Linked DNA regions of Macaca fascicularis. The protein of the gene in region 3 purifies or fractionates together with the protein of the main gene of each other region. This does not show direct contact. Links are inferred from orthologs where the notes say so. Each region holds a gene or a part of one and is shown on either strand. Other genes may lie near its edges.

Region 1 (3,745 bases), on a different chromosome or scaffold from region 3:
GGCAGCTTTCCTGCTACAATGGTAGAGTTGAGTAGACAGACACTGTAAGGCCCATAAAGCCTACAATTTACTCTCTGGCTCTTTATAGAAAAAGCTGGCCAGACGCAGTGGCTCATGCCTGTAATCCCAGCACTTTGGGAGGCCGAGGCGGGCGGATCACGAGGTCAGCATATCGAGTCCATCCTGGCTAACATGGTGAAACCCCATCTCTACTAAAAATACAAAAATAGCCGAGCGTGGTGGGACGCGCCTGTAGTCCCAGCTACTGCGAAGGCTGAAGCAGGAGAATCGCTTGAACCCAGCAGGTGGAGGTTGCAGTAAGCTGAGATTGTGCCACTGCACTCCACCCTGGGCGACAGAGTGAGACTCTGTCCCCCAACACACACACACACACACACACACACACAGTTTGCTAGTTTAAATCAGTGAATTATCCTGGGGAGAAAAAAAAAAAAACCGGGCTAATATCAGAGATAAATGCTATGAATGTACTAAAACAGGCTGATTTGTAATGCATTTGGAGGGAGGTTCCTTATAGAGGATGATGAAAATAGTTGTCTCTGAAGAGGTGACATCTAAACTGAGAACCGAATGACAACACCCAGGGTAAGTGTGTTTTAGACAAAGGGATTATTAGCAAGGGCAAAGGCCCTGAGGCAGGAATGAACATGACACATTTGGGAAACAAATAGCCCGAGTATTTGCAAGTGTAATGAATGAAGGGGCAAGTAGTAGAAAGTGAACTTAAAGGGGAGACAGCTGCAACAGCCTTTTGGATTTCATTCTAAGGTCAACAGGCAGCTGAGAAAGGGTTTTAAGCCAGACAGAGGCATGAACCCGCTGCTCTGTGAGAGTGGGCTGTAGAATGGCATATGCCGCGGTGGTCCAGGAGAGAGCTGGTCCGGGCTTGGATAGGGATGCTGTCGGCTCTGGTGCCGGTGTTGCTACAGGTGCGGAGGATGTCGGCAGAGCCAGAGGCCCACGCTAGCAAGGCTAGGAAAGAGAGGCCAGGTCTTATTCCATCTCTGGGGAAAGACAGAAGAGCCCTAAGTAAGACTTATCTGTCCCAGGCGGAGCAGGGGAAGAAGAGAGCAGGTGGGGAGCCAGTTGGGAGGCGGAAGGTGGAGGGCGGGGCGCGGAGAGACTGGCTTAGACTAGACGATGGGAGGACCCGGCGTCCTCGGACGGCGGGCGGCGAGTGGCGAGAGGCGGGAGGCGGGAGGCGGGAGGCGGGAGGCGGGAGGCGGGAGGCGGGAGGCGGGAGGCGGGGACGAGAGGAGGGCGGGGAGGCGGGGACCCGGCCGGCGGGGGTGGGGAGGCTGGAAACTGGCCCTCGCGAGGCAGCCTGTGCGCGCTAGGGGGAGCCGCACCCGCCGCCCTCCTCTGCTGCACTGCACCTCTCCCTGGCCGGGCTGACCCCGCCTCCTCCAGCCCTCCCCGCCCCACTACCCAGGAAGGCCGTGAGTGGTGCGAGCGCCGCTTTCGCTTTCCCTTCGCGGTGCCCACTCCGTTCCTCGTGCGGCGCTAGGCCCCCCGTCCCGGTCATGGCCACGCTCAGGGTTCAGCCCGAGGCCCAAGCCAAGGTGAGCGCCGCGGGGTCTAGAAAAGGCCCACTGGGGAGGCGTGGCTCGAGCGGCCGGGGGCATCCCCGACCCGCCCCCCAGACTCCCACACAAGTCAGGGGCAGTCCGCCGAGCTGGCGCTCCCGGAGCACCTGCGCCCCGGGGAGGGCGGTGACTGCTGCCTGCGGGGACAGGCGAGGCGGCCGTGGTTCTGTGGGGTGAGGTGAAGCGGAGAGCTGGCGTGGAGGGGAACTCCGCTGGCCTGGAGCCGGGGCCACACACAGACTGGATGCGGGACTGCCCCAGCTACCTCGTGGCCTTTCCCTTAGGGAGGGTCCCGGGGCCCACCCCGTCCCTGTCCTGCTCGCAGAGGGCTCTCAGCACCCCTCCTCACACCTGCCAGGCGACCCCAGGGATCTGGTCTCACGTGAACCACTGGCCCTTCACTGCCAGGAATGTTCTCATCCCCCGTATCCAGCCCTAGGGATACCCATTCCACTCTCCGTAGATCCAGGTCTGCAGAGTTCCACTCCTCCACCACCCCAACCCACCCCACAGGCATCCATCTCGCTTTCTTCAGGTCTGGCCTTAGAGGGATCCCCTCCACCCTTCCCCAGGTCAGGCCCTACATAACCCTAAGGGAACTGTCCTCAAATGAACTGGCCTTAAAGCCAAGTTTCTGAAGGGATGCATGTGCCCCACAGGTGGATGTGTTTCGTGAAGACCTCTGTACCAAGGTAAGACATGCCCCATCAGCGGCCCCACCCCTGCCCAACTCCTACTGCTCAACCCTGCCTCACCACCTAGGATGGGCATATGATGCTGACTCCCATCCTTCTCCATCCCACCTCACACACAGACAGAGAACCTGCTCGGGAGCTATTTCCCCAAGAAGATTTCTGAGCTGGATGCATTTTTAAAGGTACCGCAGCTGGGCAGGGAGCTAGGGAGTAAAGGCCAAGAGAAGGGTCAGGGGCTGTGAGAGTGAGGTGAAAGGAACCCCCTCACCTCCAGCCCTCCTCCCACCCTACACCAGGAGCCAGCTCTCAATGAAGCCAACCTGAGCAATCTGAAGGCCCCGTTGGACATCCCAGTGCCTGATCCAGTCAAGGAGAAAGAGAAAGAGGAACGGAAGAAACAGCAGGAGGCAAGCTGGGAAGACCTGGGAGAAGGGATCCAACCATGGGGGTAATCAACCTTAGTCCTGACTCTCATGAGCCCCTCTTTTTCTGCAGAAGGAAGACAAGGATGAAAAGAAGAAGGGGGAGGATGAAGACAAAGGTACTTGAAACCACAATTGTGGGAAGAGACTTGAGTCCCACCCACAGGAGCTACTCCTAAGGATTTCTTTCTACTCTCCCCTTCAACCCTCACACAGGCTCAATCATGTGACTGACCCATTGCTCACTCTCTAGGTCCTCCCTGTGGTCCAGTGAACTGCAATGAAAAGATCTTGGTCCTTCTGCAGCGCTTGAAGCCTGAGATCAAGGATGTCATTGAGCAGCTCAACCTGGTAGGCTCTCCCCCTTCAACTCTCAGGCTTTAAGTCAAACCATTGTCCTCTTAGTCCCTGCCATTTAGGGCCTGGCACATGCCAGGTTTTAGCAAGAGAGGGCACAGCAAGTGAAACCAGAAGTCCGGGCTCTGAGGCTCAGGAGAGACCTGGCATGCCTCCAGCCAGTGTGGGGAGGGAAGCAAGGGAGAATATGAAACGGAATTGGATAGAGGGCTGATGTGGCATTACGCCATTCCCTCTTCCCAGGTCACCACCTGGTTGCAGCTGCAGATACCTCGGATTGAGGATGGTAACAATTTTGGAGTGGCTGTCCAGGTGAGAGTGCTGCCCCACTTCCCTGCTCTTTTCTAGTCCATGCTTCCTTCTACTTTCCCCCTTGCTTTTTTTCCCTAGGAGAAGGTGTTTGAGCTGATGACCAGCCTCCACACCAAGCTAGAAGGCTTCCACACCCAAATCTCTAAGTGAGTGACCACCCATGTACACACTGTCTGTTTTGGGACAGAGACCTCCTTCTTCTACTCCATACACACTTCTCCTTCCACAGGTATTTCTCTGAGCGTGGTGATGCAGTGACTAAAGCAGCCAAGCAGCCCCATGTGGTAGGTGAGGCCCAGGTCAGGGTGCATGAGGGAAGGACTCATGTAAGGTCAGGCCTGACCCGAGCTTC
Region 2 (3,745 bases), on a different chromosome or scaffold from region 3:
GCCTCGGCCTGCCAAAAGTGCTGGGATTACAGGCGTGAGCCACCGCGCCCGGCCGCCAGAGTGATTCTTTAAAAATGTAAATTATATCATCCCACTGCTATGCTTAAAATCTTTTGGAAGTTTGTCTCTAGGATAAAGCTCTGAATTCCTTAGGATTTCCTTCTCAGTCTCATTTCTCCGTCCCCTCTCTTACGCTATTTTGAAATTTGAATTTTTAGAATACATGCTTGCAGCCTCAAGAGCTGTTCTCTCAGCTAAATACGTGTTCTCCTCCCTCCTTTTTCTAATCAACTTTGCACTCAACCCTTACAGCTTAAGTATCACTTCTAGGAAACTGACACCCTCTCAACCCCCTAGTTTGAACTTCTCTGTAGAGTTTCTAAGGCTTCCTGTACTTATCTAGCAATTAAGAGCATTATCTTGTAATTCACGTCTTTATCTCTGCTAGACTAAGTCCTTGGGAGGGCGGAAACCAGGGTAAACTTTCCATCTCAATAGCCTAAACGGAGTGCCTTACACACGAGACAGTCGTTCAATTAGCATTTATTCAGTGAGTTAACGATTTTCTTCCTTGGAATGATGGCGGCCAGAATACCAGAAAGATGGGGACTAAAAGGGGACAGAATAATTAAATCTATAAGGAACAAGCGGGAAGGAGTAAATAAATCTCTAAGGAGCAAGTGGGTACGTAGGCTTTTCCATAAATCCCTGTAACCTAAAAGCCGGGGCTGCTCGGCTAGGGGGACCAGGCCGACCTGGCGAACCTGTCGCCGCGACTGGGGCTCAGGTGGGCGCCGCCTGGAGTGCGCGACCCCCGGCGAAGCAGGACAATAGCTTGGAATTCGGCCTCGTGTTTCCGGTGAGGCAGCCTCGCGCTGGGCCGGTGAGGCCCGGGGTGGGGGCTCCGAGCCGGGCCCACGGCAAGGAAGGCGCGGCCCGCTGGGCTCCAGCTGCCGCCACCACCGCCTCCCCCGACGCCGTCGCTCCGCCCCGCCCCGCCCCGGAAGTGACTTGAGACCGGTCCGGAACCTCTGAGCCCGGCGGCTGCAGCGTCACCAGCCGAGCCGGTGCGGGGCGGGCAGAGCGGCCGCTGCCGCCGCCAACGAACCGGGAACCGCGCGGGGCCCAGCAGCACGCCGGCCAGGGAAGGGGGCCTAGCGATCGGTCAGAGGGCGACGGGCCGCCGGCGGCCGCAGGGCGACGAAGACGCGGAGGAGGCGGAGCCCGGAGAGGGGTGGGGGTCGGGGAGGGTTAGGGTGGGAGGGGGTAGGGGGGGTGTCCCTGGGCTCATGGAGCTGGCCGAACGGGCGAGAGTCGGAGAGCCCCCGGAGCCGGGCGGGCGTTCCGAGCCGGGCCCGCGGGGCTTCGTCCCGCAGAAAGAGATCGTCTACAACAAGCTGCTGCCCTACGCCGAGCGGCTAGACGCCGAGTCCGACTTGCAGCTGGCCCAGATCAAATGCAACCTGGGCCGGGCGGTGCAGCTCCAAGAGCTGTGGCCCGGGGGCCTCTTCTGGACCAGGAAACTCTCCACGTAAGTGTGCCCGGGCCTGCAGGCCGGGCCGGGGGGAGAGGCTTAGTGAGAGGTGTCGGGGATGGGTGCTCTTTATCCAGAGGACTGGACCCTTAGCTCTGTCCTCGCTGGAGCTGTCCCCGAGCGGTGGTCCCAGGGTCGTGACAGAGCCTGTGAAGCACTCAAGCCGTCCTCCCTGACACTTTCTTACCGGGATTCCCGGGTCCTCACCAGCCCTGCACGTCCTCTCCATCTGCTTCTCCTGAAGTGTTCGGGTTGTTGTCTTCCCACCTGGGGGGACCTGGGGAGCCCAAGGGCCCCGGCCCCGAGGGAGAGAGGTGAGCCTTTCCCAAGGGTCCTCCGTGGATCTTTGCGCATAGGAGAGGCGGGGCAGAGAGGATTTGCCTTTGGGGGAGTTCTGTGACTTCTCTCCCTGCTTCCTCCGGTTCTTCCTTCCCCTACGATCCCCGCCTCTTCACATCTCCGTTGGCGTCTAGTAACTTTCTGAATGGAAAGGAGACCATTGGGAAACTTAAGGGTTCTGCTTTTTTGGGGCCCGCTCAGACCTGGCGGAGTTGATCGAAAAGGTTGGTTTAAAGTCAGACTTCATTCTTGAGCTTAACGTCTTAGACGTTAATGTGGACAATGTTGTTTAAGATCCTAAGGATTGTGTGTTGTTCCTGTTGTGACATTTCTTTTGGAGAGGCCTTTAAGATACTGAGGAAAGTAGGGAAGAGTACTGTCAGGATGTCCACGGCGATACTCGTATCAGGCTTGTGTTAATATTTTGAGTTACTCAGATTAACATAGATTACCTGAATCAGTTTCAGGAGTTCTGTTTGTAAACTAGCTTCAAACTATAGTGTCACTGAAATTAGAAAAAAAACAAAAAACAAAGAATAAAAATACAGTGGGGGAGGAAAGGTTACATTTACCTGCTGGGTGGGCATCTTTACTGTGTCCGAAGAGCTTTTTAAGAAATAATTTTGCTTTATCTTGTTTGGTTAACTGTACATAAAATCTAGTAACATGGTATGTTCACGCATGTGGGTATGGATGGGTGAACACACAAGACGTAAGTCACTCATTCAGTGTTTACCCAAATCTACTGATTGAACTGAGTGATGACTCAGGGTTTTGTAATAGTTTTGTCCATATTTCTTCACTGGATGATTCTCGTCTGCCAATTATTAAGGAGCCTCTGACAAATTTCTCATTTCCACTTGAGGGGTGGGTGGGAACTAAAATTAAAAAGAAGCAAAACTGAAACATGTAATTTGCCCTCTTCAGAGAGTGATCATAAAATGTCAAGGTTAACAACTCTCCTCCTGACTAGAGTATAAAGAAGTTTTTGGTGTTAACGATCCTTAAGAGAATGGGGGTGAGGGGCGGCAGAAGCAGGAATGCAACAGGGAGAACCACGTTTAGTCAAAAAAAGAATACTTCATAAATGGTTACAATCCAAATGCTTTTTGAAGTGAGACTCCTAGGTTTTTGTGTTACTCAGGCACAGTAAAAATAGTCACTTTGTTACAGTGATTCCCCATTTTAATCACTTGGATTAGACTTGCTGGGAGAATACCTACCATTTTTGGGGACGCAGCCAGCTTTTTTTAGATATGCAGTATATACATATGCCATGGTGCGAAGGCATATTTGGTTTGGATTTATGAACCTAGAATCTACCAAGGCATACTTAAACATTGTTTTCTGAAGTATTTATTGTTATCAAGTTTGGTAAATTAGCACTCCGGGTTTTGTTATTTTGGCTTATTAGGTAAAAGTTTTTACTTAGAAAGGGCTAAAAATAACAGTGGAGCTAATGTTTGGTGTTTAGGGCTGGATTGCTGATGGCTTAATACCCATGAACCTATAACCATTTATATCTAAATAACCAACAAGAAATGCTATCGGGTAAAATTTTGTTTTGGTGTAATGGTTAAATGCTGGAAACTGAGTCTTGTTATTGCACTATGAGACATTTTGAATGCAGTGGGACATGTTGTGATCTTGGGTGTGTTTTTTTCCTAAGTCATGTTAAGGTGACCTGTTTATAGTTGTGCTTGTTTTTTAAGCCTTCTGTGTTGCATAAGTGAACATCTGAATAATGCCAAAACGTGTGACGAAAGCTTGAGTGGTGATCATATTTAGTACTTCGTAGAATAGAAAGTGGTAATGAAAAGAAAATCTAGTTTCTCCCACTAGCCCTGAGACTGTGGGAAAGTTACTTAATCA
Region 3 (3,745 bases):
GCTTGCAGTGAGCTGAGATCCGGCCACTGCACTCCAGCCGGGGCGACAGAGCCAGACTCCGTCTCAAAAAAAAAAAAAAAAAGAAATGAGCTTCATCTTCCAGGTAGGGAAACTGAGGCCTAGTGAAATGGGCAGTTATTGCCCACAAACAAGCAAACGTGGTGAGAAAAGCCCTCTGAAGAAAAGGAAATGGTGTGAGAACAGCAGTGACTGGAGAGGGGAAGGCTCACAGGAGACTTCACACTGACAGGAACCCCAGGATGTCATTCTCTGACTCTACCAGGATAGGAAAAAAGGGCTGCGAGATCTCAGTGTTATGTTCTTGAGACTCAGGGAGTTTTAAGAGAAATGAGAACATTTTCTTTTTTAATTGCCTTCTTTTTATTTCTGAGACAGAATCTCACTCTGTTGCCCAGGCTAGAGTGCAGTGGCACAATCTCAGCTCACTGCAACCTCCGTCTCTCAGGTTCAAGCAATTCTCCAGCCTTAGCCTCCCGAGGAGCTGGGATTACAGGTGATCACAACCACGCCCAGTTAATTTCTGTATTTTTAGTAGAGACAGGGTTTCACCATGTTGGCCAGGCTGGTCTGGAACTCCTGACCTCAAGATATCCGCCCACCTCCCAAAGTGTTGGTATTACAGGTGTGAGCCACCGCGCCTGGCCGAAATGAGAACATTTTCTGACAGGCATCCACCCACACTTGTGAACTAGTCTCTCCACCTTCTAGGAAACAAATCCAGGACCTGCCGCTCCTCAGGCCACCAGTACCCTGCAGCACCTGCCCCCTGTGACCACATATTCCCTCCTGAAAGCCTATCGCCATTCTTTTCCTCTCTTCTTATTATCTGGTTTCTCTTGTCGCCTCACTGCTAAATGTAAGGTTCAGCTCTTAAACTGCTACTCATTATTTCCCTCTCTACAGACTTTGTCTCTCCAGAATCTGCTCCCATAGATTTGGCACATTGCCAATGCTTCCCCAACCCTGAGATGTAATATCAAAACCCCAACTGTTTGTAAGATGTTTCTGTTGGGCTTGCCTTGTCCCCTCAAAATTGGTGTCAAAATCAAAGTCAGGCCAGGTGCGGTAGCTCATGCCTGTAATCTCAGCACTTTGGGAGGCTGAGGCAGGTGGATCACTTGAGGTCAGGAGTTCCATACCAGCCTGGCCAACATGGTGAAACCCTGTCTCTACTAAAAATACAAAAATTAGCCAGGCATGGTGGTGCGTGCCTGTAGTCCCAGCTACTCAGGAGGCTGAGGCACAAAAATCGCTTGAGCCTGGGAGGTGGAGGTTGCAGTGAGCCAAGATCACGCCGCTGAGCTCCAGCCTGGGTGACAAAGCAAGTCCCTGTCTCAAAAAAAAAAAAAAAAAAAAGAAAGAGAAAAAAGGGAGGGACACGTTTCTGGAGACAGTCTCGCTCTTTAGGGACTGAGCGCTGACTTCGGCCTTAGAGAGACTCGCGTGGGAATCTTGGCTGACACTCATTGACTTTGCTTCTTGGGCAAGACACTCTCTGAGACCCTCAGTTTCCTCATCTGCAAAATGGGATGGCAACATGGAATCCTCAGGGAGAGGATTAAGTAAGTCCATGAATGTGAGGTGTTTTCCACAGAGCCTGGCACAGCGGAAATGCGGGTAAAAGTTGGTTAGGATACATCTCTGTATCGCTATGGTGTGCGGCAAAGTCTCAAACTCACTGGTGGTGTGTGGTAGATGACTGACACCTTGGCCGGTCAAGACGCCAGGGGAGGATGGTCCAAGAAGAGACCTGGGTGTGGGCAGGGACCCTTGAAACTTACACTGTCTGGACGTCAGTGGCGAGCCCGGCCAGACCGATGTACAGCCGGTCACCCATTGGAAAGATCTTCTGGAAGTCCGTGGTCACCATCTGGGCCTGGATCCCGAAGCGCCTGTCTGCAGCGATGGCCACACAGTTCTTCCCCTTCATGGCCATGACGGCCCCTCCGTTATAGGACATAATAGACTAGGACAGACAGAGCGAAGGGGTCAGCGCGGGGGGTCAAACGCTGCGACAGCCCCCGGCCCAGCTCCTGATGCGGAGGCTCCTGTACGCCCGTTCTCCATTCCGGAGGCGCCTGAACCCCTGGTTCTCCAGCTGGGATGAGCACTGTGTGGCGGCGATGAGCCGCACTCACCCTCTTGGTCCTCACCGGGGTCCGCTCCCCTCGAACTGAAACCGTTTCCTTCCATCTACCCTTGGCCCTTTTCGTCCCCAAGCCTCTCCCGACCCCCTCCGCTTCTCAATCCTTCCCTGTGCTCCTTTGCTTTAACTCCCCATCTCACCATGATTGCGGTGTACTAGGACCCCTCGATCGCCGGAGCAATTCCAGTAAACCGGGTCTAGCCTTCACTGCGCAACCGCTCTCGCTGCTGTCTCTTTATTGGCTGATAGGCGGACTCTTCCTGGACATCTGGGCTTTCTATTGGTCCCGCATCCCTGTCGGTCACCAGTACAGGTAGTTTGGTTGCAAAGTCAAAACGGAGGCGGGAAAAGCGGAAGTGAAAAGTCACTGTGGGTGCGGAAGAGGCTTGCAACACGGTGCATAGTGGGATCTCGGCGGACCTGACTCGGGACTGGGGGCGGAGCCTGCGCGCACGTGGGCTGGTGAAACTGGGTTTAGGGGGCTGCGGCCCCAGCTGAAGGGGCACCGTGACGCTTATCACCGTGATGTATGAGTTCGTCCTATTAGTCGTGCTAGCTTATTTATTCACTCCAGAAATCCTTACGTTTACTGTGTACCAGGCACTTGCCTAGGCTCTGAATAGTCACTGGCCCACAACAGTGCCTGGTATATACGAGGCGCCCATTAAATGTAAATTTAATGATGCAGGTGGGAAGTGGAAGGCGTCGCGGGTAGGCGTCGTGGGTATTCTGCGGCTGCAGGGGTTCAGCTGCGAAGGGGAGTTTGGAAGCCCAAGGCTGTTCTGATTTGGGGGACTTCCTGCGCTCCGACTTCACGTATCTTCAATCTCAGGTCACCCTAAAAAAGGATGTTCCGGGCCTCTCCACGTTTGAGGTAGAACCTGAGGACAGCCAGTCGACCTCTCGCCAAGCCAATGGAGGAAGGGGGTGCACGTCCCGCGTCCTCTCCTCCCAAGCCCTTTCGTCCCCCTCCCCCATCAGGATCCTTCCCTTTCTCCCCCGGGTTCCACTTATTTCGCCCGATGGCGGCATCTCTTACGGCGTCTGCACCGTCCAGGCTCGCTCCCATTGACTCGACTCACCACCACGCCAGCAATCGTCGCGGTCTCTGTGGCGCAATCGGTTAGCGCGTTCGGCTGTTAACCGAAAGGTTGGTGGTTCGAGCCCACCCAGGGACGCGGTGGGTTTTTTTTTTTTTGTCTTTTGGGTTTTGTTCCCCCCGCCCCCCGTAAGATAAAAACCTAAGCCTTTTACTCAAAAGCCAAATTTTGCATAGAAATGGCAGCAGCAATACTTTTTCTAGGAGAATCACTGTTCTTGAAAATTCTTTGCTGCTCAGTCAATAATGGGATAATTTATCTAGCACTTCCCTCCACACCCCCCACCCCGCCTCCAAGCTGGATGGCAGGAAACCTAAAGACAGAGGTTTTGTTTCACTGTGCAAGGAACATGTTTCAGGATGCATTTTTTCGTGGGATTAGGCATGAATTTACAGTGGAGGTTCGACAGTTTTTTATTGTCTGCCTCAGTCGATATTACAATCTCCAAATACTACATTTGGAAGGGAAGGGAATGAGA

Evidence for each region.
Region 1: the proteins of PSMB3 (region 3) and PSME1 purify together in Homo sapiens (affinity purification with mass spectrometry; 4 studies listed by BioGRID and IntAct, counting the BioPlex papers as one, with this or other methods). This does not show direct contact. The link is inferred for Macaca fascicularis from reciprocal best matches to the Homo sapiens genes PSMB3 and PSME1.
Region 2: the proteins of PSMB3 (region 3) and PSME4 purify together in Homo sapiens (affinity purification with mass spectrometry; 3 studies listed by BioGRID and IntAct, counting the BioPlex papers as one, with this or other methods). This does not show direct contact. The link is inferred for Macaca fascicularis from reciprocal best matches to the Homo sapiens genes PSMB3 and PSME4.

The regions. Positions count from the first base shown.
Region 1 is NC_088381.1:91,949,817-91,953,561, forward strand, and holds the start of PSME1 (proteasome activator complex subunit 1), read left to right. Parts: upstream 1-1,429; 5' UTR 1,430-1,544; coding exon 1,545-1,583; intron 1,584-2,266; coding exon 2,267-2,299; intron 2,300-2,421; coding exon 2,422-2,484; intron 2,485-2,598; coding exon 2,599-2,709; intron 2,710-2,797; coding exon 2,798-2,843; intron 2,844-2,977; coding exon 2,978-3,075; intron 3,076-3,324; coding exon 3,325-3,393; intron 3,394-3,471; coding exon 3,472-3,539; intron 3,540-3,622; coding exon 3,623-3,677; intron 3,678-3,745. UniProt on the Homo sapiens protein: Implicated in immunoproteasome assembly and required for efficient antigen processing. The PA28 activator complex enhances the generation of class I binding peptides by altering the cleavage pattern of the proteasome.
Region 2 is NC_088387.1:67,886,220-67,889,964, forward strand, and holds the start of PSME4 (proteasome activator complex subunit 4), read left to right. Parts: upstream 1-1,013; 5' UTR 1,014-1,289; coding exon 1,290-1,531; intron 1,532-3,745. UniProt on the Homo sapiens protein: Associated component of the proteasome that specifically recognizes acetylated histones and promotes ATP- and ubiquitin-independent degradation of core histones during spermatogenesis and DNA damage response.
Region 3 is NC_088390.1:59,738,587-59,742,331, reverse strand, and holds the start of PSMB3 (proteasome subunit beta type-3), read right to left. Parts: upstream 2,379-3,745; 5' UTR 2,311-2,378; coding exon 2,308-2,310; intron 1,988-2,307; coding exon 1,803-1,987; intron 1-1,802. UniProt on the Homo sapiens protein: Non-catalytic component of the 20S core proteasome complex involved in the proteolytic degradation of most intracellular proteins. This complex plays numerous essential roles within the cell by associating with different regulatory particles.